Schizosaccharomyces pombe: one gene and its partners. Changing the gene in region 1 together with any one later gene gives a genetic interaction. Each region holds a gene or a part of one and is shown in the gene's direction. Other genes may lie near its edges.

The links.
Region 2: of rad31 (region 1) and rrp2, changing one suppresses a phenotype caused by changing the other (phenotypic suppression), as found in Schizosaccharomyces pombe (one study listed by BioGRID).
Region 3: of rad31 (region 1) and cdc22, changing one enhances a phenotype caused by changing the other (phenotypic enhancement), as found in Schizosaccharomyces pombe (one study listed by BioGRID).
Region 4: of rad31 (region 1) and hhp2, changing one enhances a phenotype caused by changing the other (phenotypic enhancement), as found in Schizosaccharomyces pombe (one study listed by BioGRID).

The regions. Positions count from the first base shown.
Region 1 is NC_003424.3:1,194,935-1,201,485, forward strand, and holds rad31 (SUMO activating enzyme E1-type Rad31), read left to right. Parts: upstream 1-3,456; 5' UTR 3,457-3,524; coding exon 3,525-3,607; exon of another isoform or gene 3,608-3,657; coding exon 3,658-4,086; exon of another isoform or gene 4,087-4,139; coding exon 4,140-4,285; exon of another isoform or gene 4,286-4,363; coding exon 4,364-4,463; exon of another isoform or gene 4,464-4,519; coding exon 4,520-4,685; 3' UTR 4,686-4,799; downstream 4,800-6,551. Other genes in the region: Rab family GTPase Ryh1, read right to left, coding at 1-102; SPOM_SPAC4C5.03 (multispanning membrane protein, CTNS/PQ domain protein), read left to right, coding at 2,061-2,969; sulfite reductase beta subunit Sir1, read right to left, coding at 6,143-6,551. UniProt on the Schizosaccharomyces pombe protein: Could be involved in a ubiquitin-related process important for DNA damage tolerance. Acts in a process which is defective in the checkpoint rad mutants and which involves hus5.
Region 2 is NC_003423.3:3,837,147-3,846,518, forward strand, and holds rrp2 (DNA translocase/ SUMO-targeted ubiquitin ligase E3), read left to right. Parts: upstream 1-2,422; 5' UTR 2,423-2,490; coding exon 2,491-5,613; 3' UTR 5,614-5,695; coding exon of another isoform or gene 5,696-6,414; 3' UTR 6,415-6,460; coding exon of another isoform or gene 6,461-6,602; 3' UTR 6,603-6,959; downstream 6,960-9,372. Other genes in the region: splicing factor Cxr1, read right to left, coding at 1-118; protein N-terminal amidase nta1, read right to left, coding at 5,696-6,414, 6,461-6,602; U3 snoRNP-associated protein Utp10, read right to left, coding at 7,301-9,372.
Region 3 is NC_003424.3:4,224,083-4,232,321, forward strand, and holds cdc22 (ribonucleoside reductase large subunit Cdc22), read left to right. Parts: upstream 1-2,887; 5' UTR 2,888-2,899; coding exon 2,900-2,918; exon of another isoform or gene 2,919-3,234; coding exon 3,235-5,651; 3' UTR 5,652-5,907; downstream 5,908-8,239. Other genes in the region: Rho family GTPase Rho1, read left to right, coding at 98-168, 500-1,037; hsp3105 (ThiJ domain protein, glyoxylase III), read left to right, coding at 6,768-7,523. UniProt on the Schizosaccharomyces pombe protein: Provides the precursors necessary for DNA synthesis. Catalyzes the biosynthesis of deoxyribonucleotides from the corresponding ribonucleotides.
Region 4 is NC_003424.3:1,045,247-1,052,457, forward strand, and holds hhp2 (serine/threonine protein kinase (CK1 family) Hhp2), read left to right. Parts: upstream 1-3,751; 5' UTR 3,752-3,788; coding exon 3,789-3,952; intron 3,953-4,118; coding exon 4,119-4,842; intron 4,843-4,928; coding exon 4,929-5,243; 3' UTR 5,244-5,890; downstream 5,891-7,211. Other genes in the region: guanyl-nucleotide exchange factor Sec2, read left to right, coding at 1-1,332; atp18 (F0-ATPase subunit J), read left to right, coding at 2,070-2,139, 2,189-2,239, 2,284-2,345; SNARE protein Bet1, read left to right, coding at 6,483-6,493, 6,537-6,675, 6,725-6,928. UniProt on the Schizosaccharomyces pombe protein: Involved in DNA repair. May regulate the activity of protein(s) involved in double strand break repair caused by gamma rays.

The DNA.
Region 1 (6,551 bases):
ATCGTACATAAATCGTGTAATTAACGATGTTTTGCCAACTGACTGCTCACCGAGAAAAACCAACTTAAATTTACGCAAAGAAAACGAGTAATTTTCTGACATTATGACAAAAAGTTTTGACTTCTAAATATACACAGACAAAAGTAATTTAGATACAGACGGAATTGCTTATTGATGATCAAAAAGCACCGTACTTAATAGTGGTAGTAGTGAGTAAAGACTATCGTGCTACAGTGAGATCCCGCCGCATATCCTTAATATACTTTCGCTTGTTTTACTTTTCATTCGCTTTTACGAAGTTTAATCTCGGTAAAGTAATTCTATAACAAACAACTTTTTCGCTGAAAAAGAAATCATGAACTCTCACCGTTCTTAAATTACTAAGCATTCCTAAAGATGGGTTCTTTTTCTTTGAGTTGTTGATAGTGATAGGTTTTTGGGTGTTAAAAAACATACAGCTGTAACAACAGTTTGTTTACTACTCATAGTTTTATACACAACATTTCAAGGAATGACAACTGGGATAAAAACGCGCCACATCGCATGGGAAGGAGGAGTCATCGAGATTTGATTATCATTAAACTATATAATACAAGAAATCTCTCGATTGGAATGGCCTAATTTTTGCTGAGAGTAGCTAAGTTTACAAAAAAATATTGGACACGCTGGGGATTGAACCCAGGACGACTCGCATGCAAAGCGAGCATGCTACCACTGCATCACATGCCCAAACATTGAAGGCTTCAGCATATTAGTAAAGTATAAGGTAATTTTTTTGTTTAGTAGCTGATGAAAGAAGGAAAATGGAAAGTAGTTAAACCATAGAACAAGCTTGAAATTCAACATAATGGCTTTATTCCATTTGAAATTTTATTAGAATGTTTCATAATCTACGCATCCTGTCTGCTACCAAGTTCAAGATTGGCAGACTGCACCAAACTGTTCGAAAAATGTATGTTTGTTAACTTGAATAAAACTAGCTGTTAAACGAGTCAGATTTAAGCAAAATATAAGCTTTACAGGAAAATATACTCGAGTTAATTTAGCAAACTCGGTCATTTCATTAATGATACAATTAGCTACGGAACAGCCAAGTCAAATTTTATACTTAATGTCAACAATAACAGGTTAGTTAGTGGGTTTTAATTTAATAATTTTCGAAATCAATAAAAGAGTAAATAGTATGGCTTTTCAAGCTTAGATTCTTTTAAAAATAAATTTTTTTTTTATTTGTATCCTTATTGCAATATGACGAAAAGTTCAAGAAAGATAAGAGAATTAAAAACTAAGTTATTTCATAATTATTAGCTGCTGTTTGGAATAAAAAATCTCGGAATTTAATGATAAGATGAAAAAGAATTTAAAAAGTAAATATGTAGTTATATATCCTATAAAAAATTTGGTTCAAACGATTAATTTAGATTATTTAGAATCTTTAAAAAGATAATGGGGTTAAAAACAAAAGAACTTGATTTTAGATTCAATTTAGAAATTTTTTTGTAAAGTGTCTTGATGTATTTCAATTTTTAGATGTGTAGCGCCATTTCATTTCACTCATGTTTTTAAAAGAGAAAAAAATTTACCTAGTTTATTAAGATATACAATTCATTCAGTTCCTTTTATCTTCTTCTATAATTCATTGTTTATTTACTTATTTATTTTCTCCAATGTCAAATTTATAGCACTTTAAATATCGCAAAATTTCAATATTATACGTTACAGCTCACAACTTTGTGTCTAAGCCCTCCGACTAATGTAGCTTACACTGCCTCTCCTTTCCCCATTTTCGACAAAATTAAATGAAAAATCCAATTTTTTGGCGATTCTTCCTTTTACTTATTTATTAAACACCAATTATTTCAAAAGGAAATTTTAAATTGTCTTTCCTTAGTGACGCTTGTTCAATAAGCCCCAAAGTTAGCAACCTTTACTTCATCGTACCATTATTGGCAGCCCAGGCATCGTTTATTTATATATTTTTATACAAAGCATTAGAAATTAACTTCGTATTGCATTTCTTTATTACGATTTTATTATAGGAGACGAAGTACGTATGAACGATGGAGTTTAGCACGAGCAGTTTCATTTTTGATGATGATACACCACCGAAGTGCCCTTTGGCAACAAAAGCTAGCTTTATCTTTTCAGTGTATATTATCATAGGCCTCATCATTTCTTACCTGTTACAAATCTTTCGCATTGTTCGTCTCGGAAGTTCGCAAGGCTTAAGTTTTTCTTACCTTATTTTGGGTTACATAGGTGTTCTTAATGCGTTCTCAAATGTCATTGCTCTACAAATTAGCCCTTTAACTGAATGCTGTCAAAATTACTATTCCAAAAAGCAATGCTTTGCTAACACAACCGGTTTAATTCAAGTGGGTTCTCAGGTACTTATTATGGGTTGTGTTCTTATGGCTTTCTGGATGTTTCTCCCTCGACCTATTCACTTTGTTGCAGCAGATGACGAAAATGGTTTACCAATCCCTGAGCCTTTAAGTGTAACGAAAAGTCGTAAATGGCGAAAAGCATCTTATGGGCTACTTGGTGTATTTACTTGGGGATTGTTTATCATCTGTCTATCCGCAACCGTCCTTAGTTCGAACTTTGCTTGGGCAGCATTCCTTGGATTTAGCGCTTCATTCTGCGCGGTCGTTCAGTATGTTCCTCAAATCATAAAAACTATACGCCATCAAAGCCATGGTGCCCTTAGTATCCCAATGATGATGATGCAAACTCCGGGTGGATTTTTGATCGGATATTTACTATCCAGGTTGCCCGGTACTAATTGGACTACGTACATGATGTATATTGTCAGCGCATGCCTTCAAGGATTGTTATTAATGCTTTGCATGTTTTATTTGCACAAAGAAAAAAGTAGAAGAAAGAGGGAGGAATTGCAGGCCACTTTACAGGAAGAAGAAAGTCAGCGAGCTGTACGAATTTTGGAAGCCGAAACTGGTCCCGAATAATAACATTTTCTTTATGTTTTCACGTCCCTTATCTATTTGTTTACCGAAAAAATTCCTAATATTTGTTTCATTCAGTTAGTAAGGTTTACTCTTCAAAAATTTTTTCCGCACATTAGAATTGGATTGCGTGATGTTATACGTTTTGCTTTTAAATCCATGAACCACTGGTATTTATTTTATTTTTTCCCACTTGATGAATTTCAGCACTCTTAGTCAGATTCTAGTATTCCCTTTCCCACATTGCTATAGATTTGCTTATTTGTTACTTAATCTAATCTGTTTATTTTATGTAGAATAACATTGAAAACGCTGTTTCGCTTCTCAATTACCAAGAATATGGTGTGAATTAATGCCTCTACCAAACATCCTTGACTTGGCCATAAGTCTCTATATAATGTATCAGTAATGAACTCGTTTGTTATTTAATTTCCATATTAAACACTGTTAGACGATTAGCTAAATCTGCCTTTTCGATATTTACTACCTTACCCCAACTTATATCTGATTCACGATAGACATAGCTGTATTCAGTCCACTAACCCCTAAGAAGAGGACATGGGGAATCACAATATTAATGCTGAAGAAATAGCTTTATACGATAGACAGATTAGGCTCTGGGGCTTTAATGCTCAACAAGCGTAAGTTGGCTGAATTTACGCATGATAGCTGGGTTCTGACAAAATTATAGACTAAAGCAATCCCGCGTCCTATTAATAACTGCTTCTCCATTAGCGAATGAAATAGCGAAAAACCTGGTATTATCTGGAATAGGAAAACTTTGTGTATTAGATTCAATGACTGTTTATGAAAAGGATGTCGAGGAGCAATTTTTTATAGAAGCTTCAGACATTGGCCAGCTCCGCGCTAATGTCTTCAAGAAAAAGTTACATGAATTAAACCCTTTAGTAGAAATTGATACAGATACGTCTCTGATATCTGAAATTGACGAAGGAAAAATCTCAAAGTTCAGCATGGTTATTGCGACGCAACTTGATTATGAAGAGTTCTGCCGAATAAACGAATTAACCCGAATTTGTAATGCCAGTTTCTACGCAACTAGCTGTTTTGGTCTTTATGGGTTCGCTTTTTGTGATTTGATTAACCACAATTTTGCAATGTAAGTCTTGTCTAAGTGATCTTCAATTTCAACACCTTTGCTTACATTTTTAGTGATCGAGTCGTTGATAATACTAAAGTAGAAGAGGATATGTTTATTGTTCAAAAACCCATGAAGGAAGCCTTTCAAAGCATATTGGGCGAAACACTAAAACCCAGGTTAGCAAAAAAGATTCCTACATTATATCCAGCGATGTTATGTAAGTCATTAACTGAGTTCAATAAGGTTAAATATGATGAAGTTGGTAAATTTTTACAGTTGCTAATTGTTAATTTAGCTTTATTAAAAAGTAAAAAATCAGATCCTGACTCGATTCGACAAGTTTGCATCGAGCAAAAGCTGAACGAGAAAACAGTACTAAATGGAGAATTTTTATCGTAAGTAAACGGAATTACTTTGACTACTTGATCACTTTTTTACTAATTTTATTTAGAAAATTTTCTTCCAATATCAGCTTTCAATGGACTCCGGTTATGTCCGTTGTTGGCGGGGTTGTTTCACAAGATGCATTGAATTCAATTAGCAAGAAGCAGTTCCCCATTGATAATTTCTGGATTTTTGATGCCGAATCAGGCCTTGCTCCAATTTATCGTTTGTAACACCACCTATGCCCAGATATTCTATACCGCAAGGGTATTCTGTTATTTAGCATCATTCTATGAAAAAAATTTGGAGAATTTGTCTTTTGCGAAATTAAAAAAAATAAACCGCCCTTATCATGTTATTAATTGATACAATTATTTACAATAGTATTGCAAATAAAATTAAGTCTTATATTCAGCAATATCACTTACTTTATCCTATATTTATTATATCTATAACAGCTTTTTATCCTAAAATTGTCAAACGCTTCCTTTACTTCGAATGAAAAGACTAAGATACTCGACTGCCATTAAAAAAATAATAGTGAGACTTAAGCGATTTTATGGCAGAAATGTTGAATTCGTTAAAGACAGCAGTCACAATTTTGTATACTCAACTCTTAAATTGCAACCTCAGCTTCCTTGTATATATGGTTTGTAATTATGGTTACTTGTTAATAACAATCAAAGTTATTTAATTTAAAGATTGCTAATGTTCTTAAAATAGCTTATACAGGTAAGCATAATTTAAAAACAGAAGTTCCTGTAGCTTTACTACTAACAATCATTGTGATGATAAAACGACGAAAACAGCTGAATTCCTCATGTTGAATTCGTTATATTATTTTTTAAGTTTCAGCCTTGTCTGATCATGATTTTTTTTACTTCTTTTTTCTTTATTTTTTTGTTATTTTTTCTGACGTTTTTAGAGTTGAATCCTAATTTTTTAAAAAGTTGTATTTTAATATATTTCCCATAAGGTAAGTTAAAAATTTTAGGTTGCTTTTCAAGTTTAAGGATGATACCTAAGACGCAACGGGCGGACTAAATGGGTTACTACAATGCTTCAACTGTACAATGAAGTTGTAACTCACATGTTGTTATCGTGTCTTACTGAAATACTTGATTAGCATTAAATTTTGTCTTTTTTTTTTTTGTTTGTATCTAAAGTATTAACTAAGATTTTAGATTTTACATAGTTACTATTGTGCTACATTTTTGGTTCAGTAAATCTCAAATAGACCGTTTTAATAGATAGCAACTTGCCATGATGAGCCATTTTATATTTTGTATTCACACTGTCTGAATTTCTTGAAGATATACTGAAACTCTGAGCAAAGCCTGATTATTCATTCGTTTCTTACATTTGGTAGTCAACAATATTGTTATATTCCTTCTCATAGTTAATACGTCTATTTAAATCCAAGTATGCTACTAAGAAAATCCTGGATATAGTAACATAAGATCAAGTCGATACCATAATTTATAATTTGATACAAAGAAATATGATTTAAAGTACTTTGAATCTAAATATAAGAAGTTGATAACATATACAATTTTTATAGATATCGTATGACAAATCACTATGTTAACCTATTAATCTAAAACCAACAATCATTGCGATACTAAAACAGACTCATTTTGACAATTATAATAGTCAACATCTAACCACCAACCTTGACTAAAATAGACGTCTAAAACGCTTCAGGTGATACCCCTTCATGAACAGCACCATTAGCTCCTCCATTTTCAACAGCTGTAATGATACCTGCACGAATAACCCAATCACCAAAGTGTTCACCATCTTCACGCTCCAAGGCGTAACGCTTGATAAGCGGACGCAACAAATTGAGGATTTCTTTTTCTTGAACGGAAGAGCGATATAGCTTGTTTAATCTCTGACCGTAAAATCCTCCACCAAGCATTAGATTGTAAGTATTTGGTGCCTTACCGACACACGCAATTTCAGCAACCCATGGACGAGAGCATCCATTTGGACAACCAGTCATACGCATAACAATACTATCTTTCTGAAGACCAGCTTCGTAAACAATTTCTTCTACTTTCGTAATCAACTTGGGAAGATAACGTTCACTTTCAGCC
Region 2 (9,372 bases), on another chromosome or scaffold:
CATTGAAGGAGTTATCTTTAACCAAAGTATCCGTATTAGCTGGTTGTTGGCTTTGTTCGTCTATCGAATTATGCGATTCCTTGGGTAAAATTTCAGACTCAGTCGGTGAGGAAGACATTTTAAAAATTTTAGCAATTAATAAAAGAGTGGATTATACTAGAAACCAAAAAAAATCGACACACTATGCTCACGGTAGAGACAGAAGGCTGAACTAAGTTAGATGAAAGTTTCGACAATGGATATTTGTGAAGATGAAACAATGAATAAATCGCCAAAAGGACTAATTATCACCACAAAAATGAGATGATGTACTGTGTATACAAAACACAAACTCTTAAAATAACTTTGGTGAGTTAACGGAAATAACTTATACGGTTAGTTGTCCAAGAAAAAGTACAAACTGGATTGTAGTCGATCAAACACAAAGTGAAATGAACGAAGGTAGAGAAAATTATTAGTTGGTACTAGGCCAATTAGTTAACTCAACGATCCAAACGTAAAAAAATATGAATCAAAGTTAAGTAGTAAGTCTTCGATAACTGATAAAGAGTCTAGAAGAAATTCAAATAATAAATTAGGAGTTTCCAAAAAAAAGAGGTGTCTTTAATAAAAAAAAATCTAATTCAAGGAAAAAAAACTTTTCAATGTTTAATTGCAAACGAATTATCAGTTAATGATAATATATTAAATTAATTGAAAAGTCAACTCAAAAGTGAAAATGTATGCTTGTAAAATGCACACAATATGCAATGTCTAAAGGAAAACGGAAGAGAAAGTTCAATTTAAACGGCAGAAGGAATAACAACGATACTTGGGTATCGCTGAACGCAGAAACGAAAAACGAATATAGCAATTAACGTAAACACGAGAGTCTACTGCAATCAAAATAACAGCAATTGCGCTTTAAACCTACGAGCAAAAAGAAAGAGAAGAAAATATTAAAATAAAAGACCTCAAAAAAAAAAAAAAGCGAAATGCTAACTTCAAAATCAAAATGCAATTTTTAACTCAAATTTGACGCAATTCCCTCGATATTACTTTCTATATGTAGCTCAATTAAAATATAAGAAAATGAGAAATAATATAAGCACAAGGACAAAGGAAACAAAGGAATTGTTCAAATACGGGGTTTCGATGTTGTAGCGTAGGTAAGTTGACTTATCTATCAGCACATTGTTAGGCAATCTATTTATGCAATTATAAATTATTGATTTTTTTAAGGTTTTTCATTTACATAAGTATTTTTTTGAATTTTATTTGTGCAACCATGTTATTAATTATGTCTTTTGAATTTCTTTTCTTATGCAGTTTTGGATTCCTGCGCAGGGTTCCATCGCTTCAGTCATAGTAGTAAAATGAGGTAAATGATTTACGTTGCTTGAAATGTGCAGATCCTACGGATGCGTCATATGGTGCTGGCAAAAGAAAAATGCGAATTTGTAGGTTTAGAGACAGCTTAAATTTTGCTTTCACCGTTTCCATTAATTCTATAAACTTTCATTTTTCATACAGTTGTTTGTCTTTGTATCCACCTGGCTAAATACATTAGAGGTTAAGCGCCAACACTCAGTCATATAAATATTGAATAGTAAGCCGCTAAAGAGAATTCAAGCGACACTACTTGATCAATTTTTAATGAAAGATACCATTATAAATTTAGAAATACAAATAATAATAGTTTTGAAATTTGGTTCTGCTATCAATACCTACGCATTGCACTTTAAAGACAAAGTAATTAGGAAAAAGGTAATGAATATTTTTAATTTAAAAAAAAAAAAAAAAAAAAAAAAAAGAAATTTAGGTATTAAGTAAAGCCATATAGCTTAAAATGCATGGGTATGTAACAGTATTCATATAGATTAGTTGAATTTAGGGGGAAACAACTTTAGAAGAAAGTAGAACATATAAAAACATTAATTAAAATATTTGTTTATTAAAACAATTTACAGCTGCTTTGATACTGCACGGACGATGCTTAAGCTATTTGAAACGTTTAATTAGAAAATTTGCAAAATGCTGCTTGGGAAACTAAGCAAGAAACATCAAAAATTTTTAAAATCGCTTTTAATACTACAATGACAAATTAGAACTGGGTTAAAAATGCTCTCAATTTATTTATTTATTCCGTCCATTTTCATCTCGCTACTAACATTTTTCAAGGATTTAAAAGTTTCACAGTTCTGTTTTTATAAAATATGTATACAGATGACTCTTCAATACCCCTTTGATTTCTTTCAGGTTTACTGATCAGCATTTTTATAAAACTCTCCCAAAACAGAAATTATTATAATAAGAATTTTTTATGATTTAAAAAATTTAATTTCTTTCCTTCCATTTCGAATGATCACAAATTCATGTACACATTTACCCTTGTTAACTTACATTTGGTACTTATTCTAAACTTTTGGGGCGACTGAGTATCACCACACCAGTTTGCCTACCTAAAATTACACACTACATTTTAAACACAAAGCATTTTTTTGCTAATTTATGAGAAATAATACAGCTTTTGAACAATTTACGTTAAATCCATGTGAACAAATACCTTTAGATGACAAACATAACATTGGGTTCAATAAAAATAATACCCCGGACTATTCTTCTTCTGCATCGTCTGACCAATTGTTAAAAAATGATATAAACAGACATGAAATGGAAAGGAGAATTGCTTTTCTTAATCGAAAACAGGCGCTATTCAATGCCTTTATGCATGATTCATCGTCCTCTTTAAATACGATGGAATCTAACATAGAAAAAGTGAATGGCCTTTTTCCTAATGACAATAGTGTGATTGCATTAAAGCCTAATGAAGAGAAGCTGAACAGTTCTCTTTCCGTTGAAAATAATGATTCTACTTACACGGATGCCACTTTAATTGCTCCTAAAATTGGGCTTGATCGTCCAAACATCAATGCAATTACTATTGATGTTGATGGCCACTCTTTGCAAAACGAAATTAGTTCTTCAACAGATAAGCTTAGTCCGAGTCAATCTGATGCACTTTTTGAACAAAAACAGGACTCTTTGTTTTGGAACGACAATGCTGTGATTGTCGTATCTGACTCTGAATCCGATGATAATAATGTTCGGACGAAATCTTCACTGAACGACCATGATAAAGTTAATATGAAGGAAAAAAGGAATTTAGAGCTTGCGTTTATGAATTCGAAAAGGAAAAAACTAGAGTTACCTTCGTTACCAGTTTTATCTACGGCTGGACCTTCTTATACCAATTCTTTAGCTCTTCCTCCTTTTCATCATCATAATAATTATAAGATGTTTAACACAACTCACACTTTAGAAGATGATAAGTTTCTTCAAGGAAAAGGAACTTCTAATAATCCGATCTCTTTATCAGACGAAGAAGATAACGAAATTAATTTTCAGAATAAGCGTTATGGCTCGGATTCAGTCATTCTTCCGGGTGGTTTGTTGCATGATTCCAAGCTACCCGAACCTGGTAAACACTTATTCCACCTTCAATGGTATCACGATAGATTTCACAATATTGAAGGATTCAATTTGTCAGACTCAAATAACCAGAAAGTTCAAGATGATCAGCAACAACAGTTGGAGGAGTTGTTCAAAGATCTTGATGAGCAGCTTGTCAACGATCCAACAATTCGCGAAGGTACACCTGCTGGACTAATACCTACATTAATGGAACACCAAAAGGAAGGACTAATGTGGTTAAAAAGATTAGAAGAAAGCTCTAAGAAAGGAGGGATTTTGGCAGATGATATGGGTCTAGGAAAAACTGTCCAGGCTCTTGCATTGCTAGTAACAAGGCCTCCAGAATCTAAATCAGTTAAAACAACTCTGATTATCACCCCTGTGTCGCTATTACAGCAATGGCATAATGAAATACTTACTAAAATTGCTCCCTCACATAGACCCACTGTTTATATTCATCACGGAAGTTCGAAAAAGCACAAAATTGCTGAACAATTGATGTCGTATGACATTGTTTTGACTACTTATAATGTCATCGCTTACGAGTTTAAAAACAAAATGGCTTATGACAAGAGTATCGAAGATAACGCTCCAATAAAAAAATTTGAACACCTTCCATTTTTTGAAGCAGAGTGGTATCGAGTTATATTGGATGAAGCTCAAACTATCAAAAACAGGAATACGTTAGCTGCTCGTGGATGCTGTCTATTAGAATCAACTTATCGTTGGTGTTTGAGTGGTACCCCTATGCAGAATGGGGTTGAGGAGTTCTACAGCTTGATAAAATTTCTGAGGATTAAACCTTATTCAGACTGGTCAAGTTTTTCAAAGGACTTTACCATTCCTTTAAGTAGCAATATAAACACGTCCGCTCCTATGAAGCGCTTTCGTGGCTTATTAAAAGCAGTGCTACTTCGTAGAACGAAAAATACAAAGATTGATGGCAAGCCAATATTGACACTTCCTCCAAAAACCGCCGTCAAATCTGAAACAGACCTCTCTTCTTCTGAGATGGAATTTTACAATACGCTTCAAAGCGGAGCACAAATTCAAATGCGTAAATATCTTCAAGAAGGGACTATAACTACGCATTACGGTAGTCTACTAGTATTACTTTTGAGACTTCGACAGGCTTGTTGTCATCCCTGGCTAATTGTTGCTCGAGAAGCAGCGGTTGATGATAACGATAGCTTTCAAGCTAAGAATCGTGCAATCTACAACCAAATATATCCCGAGGCTGTCAATCGCCTTAAGTTAATTGAAACGTTGCAATGCTCCTTATGTATGGATGTTGTTGCAGAACTTTTGATAATTGTGCCTTGCGGTCATTTTCTATGTAGAGAGTGCTTAACCCATGTTATTACATCCAGTGAGGATATGGCTAAGCAAACAAGCAACGAAAATATTTCTCCTAAGTGCTCAGTTTGCGAGGAGTACATCGATACTGAAAGGCTTTTGAGTTACGCATTATTTAGACGATATTCTGGAATGGCACCTATTGTCGATGCCGATAACAAATTAAGAACAGAAAACATTTCCGAATTGCTACCTAAACAGTATAGTAATATCTTAGAGAATAGACAAATGGGTATGAAGATCTTTACGGATCCTAAACATTGGACCACTTCTACAAAAATTGAAAAAGCATTAAATGCAGTTAAAGAAATCATCAAGAAACAGCCAACTGACAAAATTTTAATATTTTCACAGTTTGTTTCTTTTCTTGAGCTTTTTACGGTACCCTTTCGACAAGAGGGTATAAAATATCTTATGTATACTGGTGGTCTAAGCACAGCGGAAAGAAATCAAGCTCTTATTAATTTTGAAGTTGATCCGAACGTGAGAGTTTTACTGATCTCTTTAAAAGCAGGAAATGTCGGGTTAAACTTGACTTGTGCAAATCATGTCATCATACTCGATCCATTTTGGAATCCTTATATCGAAGAACAGGCTGTCGATCGAGCACATAGAATTGGACAAGATAAACCGGTAAATATTTTACGAATTGTTACTAATAACACGATTGAAGAGCGAGTTTTAGCCTTACAAGACAGAAAGAGAGAACTAATAGATAGCGCTTTAGGGGAAAAAGGGCTTAGAGAAATTTCACGTCTGAATACAAAGGAGTTGTCATTTTTATTTGGAATGTCATCACGATAATAGAAATTTAACAGGCTTATTAAAACCAATATGTATTATATAATATGTTTTCATGAATAGAAATAAAAAACGTCGCACATCTTTATTTTTCAAGTTCTCCAACTACAATTCCATTCTCAGCAGCTTTCAAGACACCATGTAAGATAGCTCTTCCTTGAGAAAGTTCCATAATACAAGAGGTACCGGAAAAATTTAAATCATTCTCCTTTCCCCACCGATTTGCTACAAGAACGATTGCATCCGTATTCGAATTTATTAACGGTGAAAGTCTAGTGGTCCAGTAATGTAAATTTTTGATGTCGGGCAGGGAAGCATCAATGACTTTATCATCTGACACAAGCCATGCCATACTTAAACAAATAATTGGTCGTGATACATTCGAAGAAACCATTTGTTGATGCTCTAGCTCACGCAAAATGAAGTTTGCATATTCAAACTTCTCAAAAGGAGCTTTAAAATCATACGGGTTAATGTCCATACAAATTGCCATTGAAATAGGGCCCAGTTCAGGAATACAGGGTTCAAAAGAGAAACCCTTGCCTTCAGTGGCCCATGATTTGTCTGTTTCAAAAAGAAAGTGCTTGTGGTAAACGTTCAACAACTCTTTTTTGGGAGAAATGAGAGCTGTACTATTGTAAAGAGTAGAAATGCCGTTTGAGTTTTGAAACTCAGGAAATCCAATGATGGTGTAGCACCGATATTGCTCAGAGACTTCTTGAGCAAATTGAATGCTTGGACAATGATTGCTAGTTACGTTTTCTAAAAAGGGTTGTATACTTTCTGAATTTTTAAAATTGTAGCCTACAGGAAAGTTAGCTAACTCTTCTTAATAATAAAGACCACCCACCAGTTAAGCACATTTCAGGGAAAACCAATAGCTTAACAGACTGTAATGCTTCAGAATGTTGATCCAAAAGCTGGCGAAGATGAACGATGTTTTCGTTCACCTTTCCCAACTTGGGAAAAAATTGTACACATCCAAACTTCATTAGTACTGTCGTTGCTGTTTAAAAGGATGCACTAGTAGTACAAACAAATTTTAAATTGAGAAGTGTTGACCGTTTTTATGACATCGAAGTGGCAAACTCTTAAACAAGTCCTTAGCGAGGCTTTTTTTTACCAATTCGATAGATAAATGGAATTAGAATTTTATCTCTTGTATATAAAAGACCGACAAGAAACTGGCCAAATCACCATTTCCTAGACAAAAACTGACTTAAGCAAATTTAAAGACGTATGCCGTTCCACTAGATTACTGCTATGTAGGATGATTGCACTTTACGAAGTCGCTCAGATATACAATATTTCGATACTTCAATGAAATTTACTGGGTTTTAATACACTGGTTTAAACTTCAAAATTATTTTGCTGCTGTCAAACATTTGTAAACTGCAAAAATTTCTCTCTTAATTTATAGTATTATGAAACCGAAACCAACCAAACTATTTATAATCCCAAGATAATTGAGAATTGATGAATACAACCCTAAAGGTCATTGATGAGAAGACCCATTATGGATTGCAATCAACATGATCGTCTTTTCCTTTTTTTTTGGCAGGGATTAGACGAAAGCGTATATATTCATAACGAATCAATAATTATTTTTTTTAGAATGAAAAATTTAGAAAACGAAAGATTCCGTTTAAAACTCAGCCTGTGAAAAACGGACCCACAACCTCTACAATCCTTATGTAAGGTAATCTTGGAGGGATTCATTCTCACCGAGACGGTCATCTATTATCCGCACGAGCTCAGCCGTAGCAGTTTCAACCTGATCATCATCATCTTCCATTAGTTCAGCAATAAATGGTACTGATTGAGGCAATGTAGAAATCCAATTCTCACCAAGGCGCCCGTAAAGCTGTGTCTGTATTTGGATAGCTAATAAGCGAGCATTGATGTTGGAGGATCGAAGATATTGCAACAACTGAGTATTCATTGATCTAAAGTTGTCGCTTGATGAGGCTACACTAGCCAGTTCGACAATAGCTTTTACTAGGACCTTGTCATCAAGCAAAGGAGCATATTGTATTTGTTCAATTAGAACGGGGCTTATTTTACCAAAACGTGCGGGCACCATCCAAAACTCCTCAGTGTCGTTTTCAAAAGCACTAACGAGACTACTGTTCACTAGATGACGAACTTCACTATTCGTATCTTTCGATGAAAGCAATTCAATCGTGTCATCCAAAACGTAAGCATAATAGTTAGTAACAATGGATTTTAAAGTATCAAGGAAAATGGTTAAAAAGTTGTAAAAAAAAGTTTGCCGAGATACTATTCCAGATGGATCAGTTTCGTACAAATCTTCCAATGCCCATGAATGCAAATGTAAAAACAAAGGACGGAAAGTTGTATCACTCAACTTCATCACGAATTTCAGAAATACATTAACTGCTTGAGTTTCCACATTATCAACGTCTTCCGCAAATAAAAGCGACCGCCTACTGTCAAAGGAATCCAAGAAAAATTTGAATATTGACTTATAAACAGTCCCAATAGCGCTCCTGCTAGAATTTTGTAATGCCAATTCAATCAACTCTAAAAGACGGAGTGCCGCAGTAGAACCAAGTCTTGCACATTCAGGCCATGCCGCAAATATAGATTTCATCAACAATCTAGTAGGTATAAAATTGGCAATTGTTTCAAATAAAAGCTCACCAATAGCATCATGTTCAAACGCACGATCAGAAGCTAAAGCGCATTTTATTGTCGGCTCGACATAACTGCTGCTAAACTCCGGTAATACTTTGAAAAAGTCGATCATCATAGAGAAACATGCTAGCTCTAATAAATCGCCTTCCGGATCTTTTCTAGCATCATCTAAAATAGATAAAGAATAATTAACTATATCGGCCAAGTAAGGCAAGATGCGAGCAGCAAGAGTATTGGTCAAGACGGTGATACATACTATGGCAGATACCTGTACATCACGTGCACTATTCTTTAATCCGTAGGGACCTGAAACCACCTCAATAGGGGAAATAAACAGTTCAGGACTCGCACTAAATCGCTTGGCCATAACAGCAAGACAATCCATAGCTAACTGAGTCGTTTCTTCATCAGAATAGTTGGATATATTGTAAGTAACATCAGGAATTAACGCTGTTAATGCAGACACTTTAGATCCCTGCTGTACCCTTTGTTGTACAATCGACAAAGCTTTACGGCGTAGTAAGGCACGTTCATCATGAAGAAGTTTACCGAGGACAGTACAAAATAATTCATTAGGTAGCAGATGTATCACACTACGTAATGCCACATATACGTGCCCCAACTCCATTTCGTTAGAGCTTTGCTGGCTGAGTGTAATAAGCAATTTTATCGATTCAAACAAACCTGCTTGAATTTCGACAAATGAATCAACAGAATTCTCCATTATCTTCGCCAAATCAAAAGCAAAATTTTTAGCCTTAGACACAAGTGAAATTAACTCCAAAACTTTTACTCGTAATGACCCGAGAGTCGCTAAATCCACATCCATTGGAAGTTCATCAAGTTTTATCAAGCTGACAGCTTTGCCATTTGAGTCTGAATTAGATTGCTCCTCAAGGGATTTTAAGCAGAATCTTGAACATTGATTGATCGATCCAATACGATCAGCAACAGAGAAAGATTGCACAAGTGTTAAGCAGAAGTCATGTATAGCAACAACATTCGTAGATTTGGCCAGCAACATTTTTTCAGCAAACTGTATTAAAACAACGGATAAAAATCTATTTGATCCAATTGTCTGCAAAACTAAACGATAAAGTCGAA
Region 3 (8,239 bases), 3.0 Mb from region 1:
ATCGAAGGAAAGAGCGGTGTCAGAATTTGAGTCGAAAAACGTTTATTTACGTCGAAATTTTTCTGTCTAGAGCAGGAGAAAGTAAACAAATCTAGGGATGGCGACAGAACTTCGCAGAAAGCTCGTTATTGTGGGAGATGGTGCATGTGGTAAAACATGCTTATTAATGTAAGTAAAAATGGTGCAAGCGTCGGAAAGGTAGTAGAAGGGTAAAGTAGTTGCTTGGGCCTGTTTTAAATTGGCAAGGGTTTACATCTCTTGCTTAGCATGGCTGGAGAAGAAAATTATTTCCGTAAGCATGTTCATTGCCTCAAGAAAATAATGAAAGAATCCCCATAGAAATGAGACTTAGATGGGGTTTAGATTACATTTAATAAATGTTCCGAGGATTTAATTTGCACTCCGTACCCTGTATTTCTACTTACTCTTTGCTTGCTTATCTGCAATGTTTCACGAGTCTGTGTCATTGTTATACAACTTCTAACATTTTTCTTTATAGTGTATTTTCTAAAGGAACCTTTCCCGAGGTCTATGTTCCCACTGTTTTTGAAAATTATGTAGCTGATGTTGAGGTTGATGGACGCCACGTTGAGTTGGCTCTTTGGGATACGGCTGGACAAGAAGATTACGACCGTCTACGTCCCTTGTCATATCCTGACTCACATGTTATCCTTATTTGCTTTGCTGTTGATTCTCCCGATTCTCTTGACAATGTTCAAGAAAAATGGATTTCCGAGGTTCTCCATTTCTGTTCCAGTCTTCCTATTTTGCTTGTCGCTTGCAAGGCTGATCTCCGTAACGACCCAAAAATTATTGAGGAGTTATCCAAGACTAATCAGCATCCCGTCACCACAGAAGAAGGTCAAGCAGTAGCTCAGAAGATTGGTGCTTACAAATACCTTGAGTGTTCTGCCAAGACGAATGAAGGTGTTCGTGAGGTTTTTGAATCAGCCACTCGTGCTGCTATGCTCAAACACAAGCCCAAAGTGAAGCCCTCTAGTGGAACTAAGAAGAAGAAGCGTTGTATCTTGTTGTAAACAGCTTGTTTCCAAATTTTTTAACTTAGAGAATTTATCTTTTCTGTTTTTATACATCTCTTCAGTCGAAGCACATTCAACAAGTTTCCGTATTTTTTCGACTTATGTTGATTTTTATTTCACCTTCACCTTGGTGGGAGTTTTGCATTGTGTGGCCTATCATGTTACATAGTCATTATATCCTCTCATTCTTTCCTTTTTACTTACCTCAAGTCGTGCCATTTAGTCAGCTTGGCAATGATTTAAGCGCATTTCATATAGCTGTTCTACCATTTCCCCTCACTGTTCTGCAACGTATAGGCACCTGCAAGGAGTATGCGTCTTGTTTTCAGTCTTTGCTTACTTTGCTATACTCTTCGCTATTAGTTTGAAGAAAATTTCCCTTATTGCCTTGTTATTGCATGGTTTTATTTTTCCTATAATACCTTGTTTCTTTTGTTAAGGATTGCCATCATTATTATCCTTTCTACCTAGTCAAAGGACTTGGTAAATTTTTATAAATCGGTAATTTAAAGAATATACACCTCGATTGAAACTCGATCAAAACCCGAATATTTTATAAGCTTTCTCACAGCACGTAATTGCTTATTATCGTGGAACTTTAGCTGGGTCTCCAATTTTGCACTAGAATTATTGTAGAAAATTGAAGCGACATTATCTCTGTTGATAACCTTGCTGGTATACAGGCGCTTGGTATTTTTATACACGTTGATAGTCGAAGTAGCAGATAGCCGTAGTTGATGGTTTAAACATTTTGTATTTTGCGGAAATTTGCACACTGTTTATATCTCATTCTCTTTACGTCAAGCATACCAATGTTTGCAATTTCATGTTTTGAAGGTGACCGTTGTTATTCTATCTATGCATTTGTATTACCATTTGATTTTCACTCTGTCTACAGGCAAGATTATCAGATGAAGATATAAGCATTGTTGACTTTACCTAAAAAAAAGGATAATTGCGAGGGAGCAAATAGTGAATTAAAGGGAAAAGAACAAAGTTTTTGTAGCTACTAAAAGCTGTTTGTCTATCTCTATGTGTACCTTTTATAGTGCTTATAAGTAAAATGCAGAGTCGAAATCTTCATGCTTTAATGTAAAGCATTAGTAAGGTTACATATTACAACAGAAATGGGAATCAAAATCTTAAATCTAAAAGTTGAGAGGTCTTAACAAAAAAGCTAACTCAACTTAGCTTTACAATTTATAAATCAAGGAAACAATACTTTATCAATTGTATGTTATGATCTTCTCCAACAGGTAATTGACAACATCAAAAAGTAATATAAAGAACAAGGGGAAATTGATATCTAGATATATTAGAGAAATTAGTAGTTCAATCTCATAGAGCAGGTTGGTAGTCGGGTTGGACCGCGTGTTTAATTTATGTAAACAGTCGCGTCGCGTTGCAATTGAGACGCGTAAATAAATATTTAATTTATTACATTCAGTCGTAAACAGAGTATTTATAAACACTTTTTTTATGTTTAATAAAAGATAAATGTAACAGTTGAATGTATTGTATCAGGTCAGACCACTTCAACATGTTTAATCGCGTTTTTTTAAAAAAATATTTTTTTAATTTTTAAAAGTCGGACTTATTTTAGCGGAACTTTGATGTTCAGAAGTGAAAAAGATAAATCTATTTAGCAAGTCTTAATTAACGTCTTTTAGATATAGTAGAGCTACAAAAATGATCCGGTTTCCACTCTTAGCTTTATTTATTTACATTGATCAACATGACTTAAAGTTCGGATGACGCGACGCGGCATCACGTTATATTAGCGTGACGCGTCTGAACGCGTTTTTCATTTACTATAAATATTCCCGGTATTTACCACCTTACAAACTAGAACAAACACGATGTTTGTATACAAAAGAGGTATGAAACAGGAAATAAAATACAGTTAGAAGATTAGTAGAAATTTTGTTACAACGTTGCCGTTTCGAAAAATGTCGTGATTTTACTGGGGAGTAAATGTTTAAAGAAACTGAGATTTTTCTATTTGTTTAAGCGTGTCATTCAGTATTCACTGTTTGTTGTGTGCAGAGATGTTTAAGCAAATGTTCTTTTAGCCGTTTGCTCTACTTCCAAGTGTTCGGTTGATTGCTGACAGATTCGTTGCTGGTGGCGTTGTATTCAAAATTGACTGACTGTTGACATTGAATCGAAAAGCAATAATGTACTAACTGTATAGACGGACGTCAAGAGAAAGTGGCCTTTGACAAAATCACTGCTCGTGTTTCGAGGCTTTGTTATGGCCTTGATTCCGATCATGTTGATCCCGTCGAAATCACTCAAAAAGTCATTTCTGGTGTGTATCCCGGTGTTACCACTATTGAATTGGATAATTTAGCTGCTGAAACTGCCGCGACTATGACTACAAAGCATCCTGATTATGCTATTTTGGCTGCTAGAATTGCTGTTTCCAACTTGCATAAGCAAACCGAGAAGGTGTTTTCAACTGTCGTTCAACAGCTTCATGACTATGTAAATCCCAAAACAGACAAGCCTGCCCCCATGATCTCTGACAAAATCTACGATATCGTAATGAAACACAAGGACGAATTAGATAGTGCTATCATATACGATCGTGATTTCACTTACAATTTCTTTGGCTTCAAGACTTTAGAGCGTTCTTATTTATTGCGTATCGACGGCAAAGTTGCTGAGCGCCCTCAGCATATGATTATGCGTGTCGCCGTTGGTATCCACGGTGAGGACATTGAAGCTGCTATTGAAACATACAATTTGATGTCTCAACGCTACTTTACCCATGCTTCACCAACTCTTTTCAATGCCGGTACTCCTCGTCCCCAACTCTCTTCTTGTTTCCTCGTTACGATGAAAGACGACTCTATTGAAGGAATCTACGACACACTCAAGATGTGTGCTATGATCTCCAAGACCGCTGGCGGTATTGGTATTAATATTCACAACATTAGAGCAACCGGTTCGTATATTGCTGGAACTAATGGTACTTCCAACGGAATTGTCCCCATGATTCGTGTTTACAACAACACAGCTCGTTATGTTGACCAAGGAGGTAATAAGCGTCCTGGTGCCTTTGCAGCCTATTTGGAGCCTTGGCATGCCGATGTTATGGACTTTTTAGAACTTCGAAAGACTCATGGCAACGAGGATTTCCGCGCACGCGAAATGTTCTATGCCTTGTGGATTCCTGACTTGTTTATGCAACGTGTTGAACGTAACGAGCAATGGACCTTCTTCTGCCCCAATGAGGCTCCAGGTTTGGCAGATGTTTGGGGTGACGAGTTTGTTGCCCTCTACGAAAAGTATGAGAAGGAGAACCGTGGTCGTCGTTCATTACCTGCTCAAAAAGTTTGGTACGCCATTCTTCAATCACAAGTTGAAACTGGTAATCCTTTCATGTTGTATAAGGATTCATGCAACCGTAAGTCCAATCAGAAGAATGTTGGTACTATTCGCTGCTCAAACCTGTGTACTGAGATTGTTGAATACTCTTCTCCTGACGAAGTTGCTGTTTGTAACCTTGCTTCAGTTGCTTTGCCCACATTTATTAAAGACGGAAAGTACAATTTCCAAAAGCTTCACGATGTCGTGAAGGTCGTTACTCGTAACCTCAACAAGATTATCGACGTTAACTATTATCCTGTTCCTGAAGCTCGCCGTAGCAATATGCGCCATCGTCCCGTTGGTTTGGGTGTTCAAGGTCTTGCCGATGCTTTCTTCGCTCTTCGTTTACCATTCGAATCTGCAGGTGCCAAGAAGCTAAACATCCAAATCTTCGAAACAATTTACCACGCAGCCCTTGAGGCCTCTTGCGAGATTGCCCAGGTAGAGGGTACATATGAGAGTTATGAAGGATCTCCTGCATCCCAGGGTATTTTACAGTATGACATGTGGAACGTTAATCCCACCGATCTTTGGGATTGGGCCGAGTTGAAGGAAAAGATTGCTAAACACGGAATTCGTAATTCTTTGTTAGTAGCACCAATGCCTACTGCTTCAACATCTCAAATCCTTGGTTTCAATGAGTGTTTTGAGCCATATACTTCTAACATGTACCAACGCCGTGTTCTTTCTGGTGAATTCCAAATTGTCAATCCATGGCTGTTGAAGGATCTCGTTGAGCGTGATTTGTGGAATGAGGACATGAAGAACAAACTTGTTATGCTTGATGGATCCATCCAAGCGATTCCTGAAATTCCTCAAGACCTTAAGGATCTTTACAAAACCGTATGGGAGATTAGTCAAAAGACTGTTATTGACTATGCTGCCGACCGTGGCCCATTCATTGATCAATCCCAAAGTTTGAACATTCACTTGAAGGATCCTTCCTACGGAAAAATTACTAGTATGCACTTTTATGGCTGGAAGAAGGGTCTTAAGACTGGAATGTACTATCTTCGTACTATGGCTGCTTCTGCTGCTATCAAATTTACGGTCGACCCTGTGGCCTTGCGCGCTCGTAATGAAGAATCTAATGAAGAGAATAAGAAGCCAGTTATAAAGAATGGAAAGGCTGAAATTTCTGCAGAGCCCACTAAAGAAGAGATTGACATTTATAATGAAAAAGTGCTCGCATGCTCCATCAAGAACCCTGAGGCTTGCGAAATGTGCTCAGCCTAATTTACTGTTGCAAAAATGGATTTGTTAAATCCCATCCATGTTTAATATCCTACATTTTATTGTTTCTTTTAATGTTTTTATTCAATATTCTTTTCATTTGTCGACATACATAATTGTGTCTTAAATTCAACCTTGGTTTTCCATTCTAGTGAGCAGGCTCAGAATGGTTCTAATACATAAATTAGATTACGAATTTTCTGGAATTTTGATGTTTTCCGGGGTTTTAAAAACTCCCAATAATATAAGTTACTTTTTGTCTCTTGATTAATGCAATGCATTATCGACGTGGTATATTTGTAGACATGAGACTGTAAATTTTGTACGAGGGAAGATGTACATTCGATAAAGATACTTCATAAAAAAATTTGTAAGTGCTTCTGATGTTCCTCATTTTGTGTAAACGGGTAAGGTGGTATTTGTTTATTCACTGGTTAACGGGCTAAATTGAGGTATGGTAAATGGTTTAATATTTGTGGCATCGTAAATCTTTATAGCATGTGTTTTATTACCTTTTTCAAGTAGATCGTTTGAAAAGTGCAACTGCGTGTTTGTTAAAGAAGTCAAACCAAATGCACGCAATGGAGTGAGATAAGTCGCTCATTTGATTGTTGATAAACAGGATATCATGTAGCATGCATGACTTAAACAAATTATTTTAACCGTACGAAATTAATTAACCATTTCAGTTGAAAGTATTTTCAATAACTGAAGTACGATGTTTATAGCAATATCATTATTAGGAGAAAACTTGATATGGAAATACTTTATGAAATAGTTGCTTCAATATTACATTATGCAGGTTTTTATATTTAGTAGAATAATTTTAAAAAGTAAGTAGTAATTTTAATTAAAAAGCATGTCATCGTGATTCGTGCTGGAGGCGTACACATAAATTGCTTCGAGAGGATCGTTGAAAGGCTCAAAATAACTCGCATTTGAAGATAATAAGTTTTGAGACTCGTGTAATCATCTTGAGGGACATTTCCTGACAGTTTGATCACATAACTTTTCATCAGATAAATATCCCCTTTTCTTAATTTTTAAAATATAACGAGGATATTTTAACTGATAACCCAAATTTGCGACATTGAATTGTATTGAAAATTGAATTAAAAAATGGATGAACGACATGAAGCAGCAGGAGAGACGTCGGAAAAACCAAAAGTACTTTTCTTGCTGAATAGCTATTATGGCCCTTTTTATGATGATGGAGATAACACTGGCGTGAATGTAGTAGACTTATATGAAGCGTTTAAAGTATTTGAAGAAAATGGTTTTGACATAGTAATTGCGTCTGATACTGGGGATTATGGATTTGACGATAAATCCTTTCGAGACCCGGCGATAGTGGATGAAACACAATCAATATTTTCTAATCCTGATTGCTCTTTGATGAAGAAATTAAAGAATATCGCAAGACTGGATCGATTGAATCCTTCGGACTATGTGATTGTTTATATACCTGGAGGATATGGCTGTTCTTTTGATTTCCCCCATGCCAAAGTTGTACAGGACTTTTTGTATCGGTTTTATGAAACAAAAGGAATTATATGCGCCGTTGCACAAGCTAACATTGCCTTGGCTTACACGACGAATTCTGATGGGCAAGCTTTGTGTACGAACCGCCGTGTGACCGGTTGCACTTGGAAGGATGAAGTCCAAAATGGTGTCTTGAATGTGATGAACCGTCTTAATTTCTATAGTTTTGGTCACATTGCCGAAAACATTGGCGCCATTTTTGAATCTCCTCCTGTATACGTTGAGGACCCTTTCATTGTGGAGGATGGGCAGCTGTTTACTGGATCGAATACAAATAGTGCCAAAGGTGTAGCAATGGAAGCGGTGAGGGCTGTGTTAAATTATGATGGATGATCAAAATTTCTTTTTTGGAAAACCGATCGTGTTTTGGGATTCTCACATTTTTTTTATTTTTTCTAATGTTTGAAATGGCACCATTGGTTAATCGATAACTGTAATTATTAATTTCACGCTTATTATAAAAATTATTTTGGCATTAATTTTGTTGCACTTTTTTTTTTGTACAATCTAGAGACTTTTCGGTTTGATACCGAGTACATATGTTTGTATTTAAAGTTATATATATTCTCATGCTTTGTATATGCACAAATATACTGAAATTTGAGATATTGGGGATGTTCGTTGGAAATTATCTCTGTACGAATGGGACAAGGCGGATTTGATTTTGGAAATGAGTATAATAATCTATTAAATTTCTCTATGCAGTTTTGGGATAACTTTCGTTTTTGCATTTTACCCTGTATTTCGGGATCATCAACTACTATATCCAACTGCGAAACATAATCTATGATTTCTTATTTCAAAGAAGATAGAAAAGTCCAACTTTGAGTTTTCTTATTGTTAGGGTGTTTTCCATGCGGGAAATCGCAATCCATTCTATTTTTTTTTTACCTATTTATACCAAGTATAATGCCGAGTTACTAATGAATTCTTTTTTTTCATTTTCGGTTCCTTTTATTTGAGGATTGGTGTTGAATAAGAATTATTTCTACCGCCTCTGTGAAAGAGAATAAAACGCTACCAAGGAATCATATGCAAATACCTCGTTT
Region 4 (7,211 bases), 150 kb from region 1:
AACCTTGAAGAGAAACTTCAGCTTACGGAAACGAAATGCCGTAACGCAGAAAGTGAGAAAAGCCGTGTGGAAAATGAACTAGAAGATTTAACTAGCTCGTTATTTGAAGAAGCTAATCGTATGGTTGCAAATGCAAGGAAGGAGACTGTTGCGTCTGAAAAGCGTGTTAACCAATTGAAAAAGCAACTTGTGGATGCAGAAACTCTTTTATCAAGCACCCAGCATCAACTGACGGAACTGAAGGATGTCATGCATTCCATGTCCGACTCACACGAACAAAATAATGCCTTGCATCCACCACTTTCAAGGACCACCTCTTTCGTTGCCGATAATGTATCTGTTGGTAGTTTTGCTTCATCAACTAGTGGACTTGACATTCTAACTGGAACGAGTGCTCGTGAATCTTTAGATGCTAAAGAAATTTCAAGTGATAAACATTTGAATATATCAGGAGAAAGGCCAGCTACATTTCCCAATCCAACTTTTATCGAGGGTTCCGACGAACGTCGATCAGCTTCAAGTCTCGGTCATCGCACAAATAACAATCAAAACCAGTTAATTCGATTTTCTACTCAGATTCGATCTAGCAGTACATCTCCTCCTAGATCCCCTTTAATTATTTCAGATTCCCCTTCGTCATCTATTATTCATAATCCCCACCCAACTCACCCTTCCGCCTCTGCCATGAATTATATGAATCCGTGTTTTCTTGAATTTCATGCCTTTTTTAATTATCCTATGAAGTTTGCGAGATCAAGAAGTGCATATTCAACATCAGCAAATTATTCTAACACTCCTCCACGTAACACTGTTACACCATCTACTGCAAGATCATCCACTCTATCGCAAAATCCTAGTTCTTCTTCTAACTCAATTCCTTTAATATCAAGAAATCTACGTGACTTCTCCTTTTTTAAACGTTGTTTAGAAGAAGACATTGAACCCACTTTACGGTTAGATCATGCTTCAGGTTTATCATGGCTAACACGTCGATCTGTGTTCACTGCTATATTAGAATCATCCTTGATCATCAACCCGCTTCATTCTACTTCCCTCCTATCGTCACAACCTTGCTCTTTATGTGGGTTTAACCGTACCCAGCCTTTACGACAATTCGAATTTCGTTCTCGACCTGATTCTACATCACATGCCTCTTGCACTTATTGTGTCGCTCGTCTTCGGAGTGTTTGTAATTTTGTTGCCTTTCTTCATCAAATATGCAAAGGGGTTTGGTCTTCCTGCTCTTTAGAAAAAGCTTGGGATGAGTGTTTGAAAAAGCGAGAAGCCATGTTTTTATCTCGTGTAGGACTTGCAAAAGAATTAGAAGGATAATTTCCTTGGCACGTTTCTTTTTTTAACATATTAAGTTTACGCGTTTGTCGACAGTTGAATTTTTGGTCTATTCAAAATCGTTAAGCAAAGGATTCTCGTATTTTTACTTTCTATCTTATGTACATGTACTAATTTAATAAATAGATAACTAAACTTCAATGTAAAAGTATATAAATAACAGATAAATATATTATTTAATTACCTTTTCAGAAGCTCTTGATTTACAAATTGATGAAAGGGCAGTCGATTTCCGACTACTCACCAAAATGTTTCATAGAGTACGCGAGTTTGACTCAAAGAGTTTTGTATTTTCATGCTATCTAACGAACAACAAGTCATATGATGAAAAAAGAAAAAATTCTCTTACTGTTTTCAAGTAGTTAAAAGAGACTCGACTGTAACTGCGAAAGGTTGTCTTCAGTCAATCAGTCTAATCCCGAATTTAAAAACAAACGCTAATATGTGTTATGGATGTAATTGTGTAAGTTCGAACTTTAATTTAGCATGTCCATTTAACTAGCACTTCAAAATTTGGTTCCATCAGACTGAAGCTACTACCAAAAAAGAGTAATTTTTTTTATTATTTTAGAATTCTTTTAAAAGAAAATAAAATTAAAAAAATAATACACTAGAAATCGACATCGTTGACATATCCTAATATTGAGACTCCCAGTGATTGCCTTTAACTTAACCTCTCCACTCCCATCTCCATTTAAACAGAAATCGGAATCAGAGAAATGTCGTTCTTTGGCCTTAAAAGATATTCTACTCCTATTTTAAAACCTATGCTTCCTTTTTTTCTAGGGGGTATGTATATTTTTCAACGATTTGAATTATTATTAACATGTCTTGACAGGAGCCATCGTATTCTATGGTACTGTAAAGCTTCGTGATGCTATGATGGATTGTACGTTTTTAATAGAAATAGAACAATTTTTTAACTCTATGTAGCTGCGGAGTATCGCAATGATCCTAGAAACCCAAAGGCTGGAAAGTACGGAAGTGATCATTAAGTTGATGACGAGTTCATGTCTTTCACTTCCTAAAATGTTTCAGCCCTTTTGATGTGATTTAATGGAAGTCAATGAAATTACACTGCTTGTTTTTGTAGCAGTTACAATTGATCAAAAGTTCTGTAATCAATCGAATTTATTTGTAGGAGATCAATCATTTAAATTAAAGTATTAAATGTATATTTAAATATGAACTTTTCAAATAAACAGAAGGAAAAAATGAATTTCCATGCTTTTTAGGAATACATGTGTTGCACGAAATAAATATTCACTTTGACTGAAAAGTTATGTACTTAGTCGTCATTTAATTCGCTCATTTTGTAATCTTTTAATTTACCTAGATAATTTGATAATCCTCAGAAAAAGTACCTCAAACATATTGTTCCTATTTTGTGTTTCCAATTAAGCAGATCTTTGGGCACGGATTTCAAAAGCTGTAAAATAACGTATTACAGAAGGTTTAGTATACACTTCTATATTGAAGCTGGTATTGTATTCTCTAGAACTGAGGCTTTTACTAAAAATAAAGCAGTATTAGCATTTTTCGTTTTCAATACTACTTCGCCATGTAGGCGATCGTTTTTTGCATTCACTCCAAAAAAGAATCATCGGAAAAACTATTGAAAGAGAATAGCAGTTCAATATGATTCTGTAAGTAAAATCCTGAACGTTCATAGAAAATCATTTTGGATTTGTTTGCTTTGTTTACAAAACAAATCACTTTGAAGTGATTCTCTTTGAGGATATGAAAAAATATGCTAGAATTCCACATTCTTCATAATGTAAACAAAACATTATTGCTTTTTGTATCAATAAATTTAATCCAAACCTCTTTTCTTTCCACTAGAAAACCACATGTCATTCATATTTTGTACTTTTCGGAAGAAAGTCAGAACAAGCTCCCACTCAGGTACTTCATGCTACAATGTAATGCACAAACAATTGAAGGGTAAAATATCTGTTGGAGCAAATGATTCCGTGACATTTCAGCCACATCACAAACGGCTTACTTCGGAATAAACAAATATTATTCTAACGGAAAAGAAAAAAAAAAATCCGCGTTCAGTAGAAGTCACTGCAAAAATATGAACCAACAAATTTGAATTCGCTTTGCTTACTAAATTTATTAAGTCTCATGTAAAGAAACAATCAACATCCACAGCCTTAAGGCAATCATGGTACAAACATTAAATAAAATATTCCACTCTTTTAGAAACGAGCATCTTAAAAAATTAGTTGACGAGGGAAGTAAACAAAGACATTGAAGTATTGCTTAGTAAAATAAAAAATTAGTCACATTACATTGTATATATCATGTATTCAAAACATCCTTCTACTCCAAATATAGCTCGTTGCAGCGCTCTATTTGCCTTCCTCTTTGATTTCTGTGATGATGCGATTCTAACAACCACAGTCATCTCTGTGAATTAGAATCTTAGCAAAATGACGGTTGTTGACATTAAGATTGGTAATAAATATCGTATAGGTAGAAAAATTGGTTCTGGCTCCTTTGGTCAAATTTACCTGGGATTAAATACGGTAAATGGAGAACAAGTTGCTGTGAAATTGGAGCCTTTAAAGGCTCGTCATCATCAGTTAGAATATGAGTAAGTAGTGCTTTAATATTTTTTTACTTAAGTATAAGTTGGATTTCTTTCGGAACTCCAATTTCTTCTTTATATCTATCAACCGTAGCTCGATGTTTTACAACCAAAAAGGAAAAGCAAAAGTTACTCCATTTGGTTATTTTTCTTTTTTCTTTCTAACATTTAGGTTTCGTGTGTATAATATTCTTAAAGGAAATATTGGCATACCCACAATTCGCTGGTTCGGTGTAACCAATAGTTATAATGCTATGGTCATGGATTTATTAGGCCCTTCTCTGGAAGATTTATTCTGCTATTGTGGAAGAAAGTTTACTCTTAAAACGGTTCTTTTACTTGCTGATCAACTCATCAGTCGCATTGAATATGTTCACTCCAAGTCATTCTTACATCGAGACATTAAGCCTGATAATTTTTTAATGAAGAAGCACAGCAATGTTGTTACGATGATTGACTTCGGATTGGCGAAAAAATACAGGGATTTTAAAACTCATGTTCATATTCCATATCGAGATAATAAGAATCTTACGGGAACGGCTCGATATGCTAGTATTAACACCCATATTGGTATTGAACAATCTCGCCGTGATGACCTCGAATCGTTAGGTTATGTTTTACTTTATTTTTGTCGCGGCAGTTTGCCCTGGCAAGGCTTACAAGCTGATACAAAGGAGCAAAAGTATCAACGGATACGTGATACCAAGATTGGCACTCCTTTGGAAGTCCTTTGCAAAGGTCTTCCCGAAGAGTTTATCACTTACATGTGTTACACTCGTCAGCTTTCGTTTACCGAGAAGCCAAACTATGCTTATTTGAGAAAGCTGTTTCGTGATTTACTTATTCGTAAAGGATACCAGTATGACTATGTTTTTGACTGGATGATATTAAAATACGTAAGTTTTGAAAAGAAAATGATAAGGTGATACGTTAGTTTAACCTTAACAAATGATTGAAAATTCGATTGACTAACTATTATTAGCAAAAGCGAGCTGCTGCTGCTGCCGCCGCTTCTGCTACAGCACCTCCACAGGTTACATCTCCTATGGTGTCACAAACTCAACCGGTTAATCCCATTACTCCTAATTATTCATCCATTCCCTTACCTGCTGAGCGGAATCCAAAGACTCCACAATCTTTCTCCACTAATATTGTTCAATGTGCTTCTCCCTCACCTCTTCCTCTCTCCTTTCGTTCTCCTGTTCCCAACAAAGATTATGAATACATTCCATCTTCGTTGCAACCTCAATACAGTGCTCAACTGAGGCGTGTTTTAGATGAAGAACCAGCTCCTTGATTTTTTGACTTTACTTTTCATCAATTCCTCTCTTACACTACGTCTTTTAGTCTTAAATTCCAAACCATCTGTTGACGTTTTAAAGTTCCACAAATATCTTTAATAATTCCTGGCTTTCTTTTTTGTCTATGGATGGCCGGATTGCTACACTAATACACTTTGAGGTTTAGCTATTGTTTTGAGCTATTCCATTTTGCCTAGAAGTTGAGTTTTAATGCCTTCTTTTTAAATAGACATATTGTGTAAACCTCATACATGCTTTACTGAAAAGACATAATTAGAGGACAAAATTTAAATCGTGCTGTTTGTTTATATTCAGCTCGTTCCGGTCAAGTTCTTGCCAAAGAATTGAGTCAGTCGTGCTATTCATTTCTAAATTTCTTCTTCCCAGAATTTTATTTTATTGTTTTCGTTCCCCATTGGTTCTTACATTCCGTTTTTATTCAAAACTGAAAAGTTTGTACCTCCATTGCTAGAAGTAATATACACAAGGAGCATGTTTCTTTTTTTACACTATCATTTGCGTGGCTCTAAACCAGTCTTTATTGCCTACCTTTGCAATAAAAGATATAATATCAATTGCATAAGAAATAATTCATTAATAAATGATAAATTTCATCGATTAAATAGATCGCTATTTTTCACACTGTATTATGGGCAAGTAGCGTAAAAAATATTAGCTCTGTTGGAGTTGACCGCTGGATCATCAAGTTTTACATACTATTTAATTTCGGCTGTAGCAAAGAAAAATATCCATCGATTTGCCATATTATCATATCTATTGCTTTCTGTGGTATTTTAACCACCGGTATTTCACTTCTACAAATGTAAACAAAGCACGTTGATTTGTTTACATTACAGTTGCCCCAGTAACACATTATGGATCAGCACCACAAAGAAAAATCATTCAAAATTGATGCTCAAATTCAATATTCTACAGGCTCAAGAAGGGATCTATACTTATTTTTACTAAACCCATAACTATCATCTCTGTTTCGTCTGCGGTAAAAAAAAAATTGTTTAGATTAATGTAAAAACAGAGCAAAATGAGATTTGTCACTTAGTACAACAATGTGTTACCTCTACACGCAACTCCTGAGTTGCGTCGCATGTTATTTGATGAGCTGACTTTGCGCACAAAACCAATACATAACAAAGAGATCTTAGGATTTGGAAGTTGCGCTACACCAAATACTTTTCATATTCGGTAAAGGGAAAGATTTTAAAAAAAGCTTCAGAATGGGATCAAGGTATGTACTAAATCTGATCAATCAATGTCTAACTAATCATTAGATTCGGTAGAAGAAAAGAACGCAATGGCGATATGTTGCCCTTGTATGAGTCTCAATCTCCTCAGCATTTAGACTCCTTGGAAAATGAAAATGATGAACGGATTTCAAAGTTAACTGGAAAAGTCAAGTCTTTGAAAGAGGTAAGATTTTTGCCATCATCAGGAAAAACATGCTAACTAATTTTAATAGCTTACTATGAATATTGGGACTGAGATAACGTCTTCTACTAAGTTGATGGAGTCAATGAACGACTCATTTGACTCGACCAAGTCACTTTTGAGCGGGACAATGACTCGATTAAAGAATGTTTCGAAGAATGGAGGAATTTCAATTTGGATGTGGCTCGCCTTCTTTTGCCTCGTTGCGCTTATCCTCGTTTTGGTAAGATTTTAGGCATTTTGCTTACTACCTTTACTCTTTTTTAGAGTTAGCATTTTTATGATTCATTTTATGGCGTGTATAATCTGTTAAAATTGTATACTTGAAGTTTCTTCATTCTCTTTTCTTCTAACATTTTCATTCTGATTATTTTAAACTTATTATCGATAGAAAAAAAACATTCATCCACCTTTGGTGTTTCCACACAAGTGGTTTGTCACGATAGGAACGCAAATCCTCAATTTTTGTTTTCCTAACGACTTTGTTTTTAACTTATTACATCCTGTTATTATAAGTT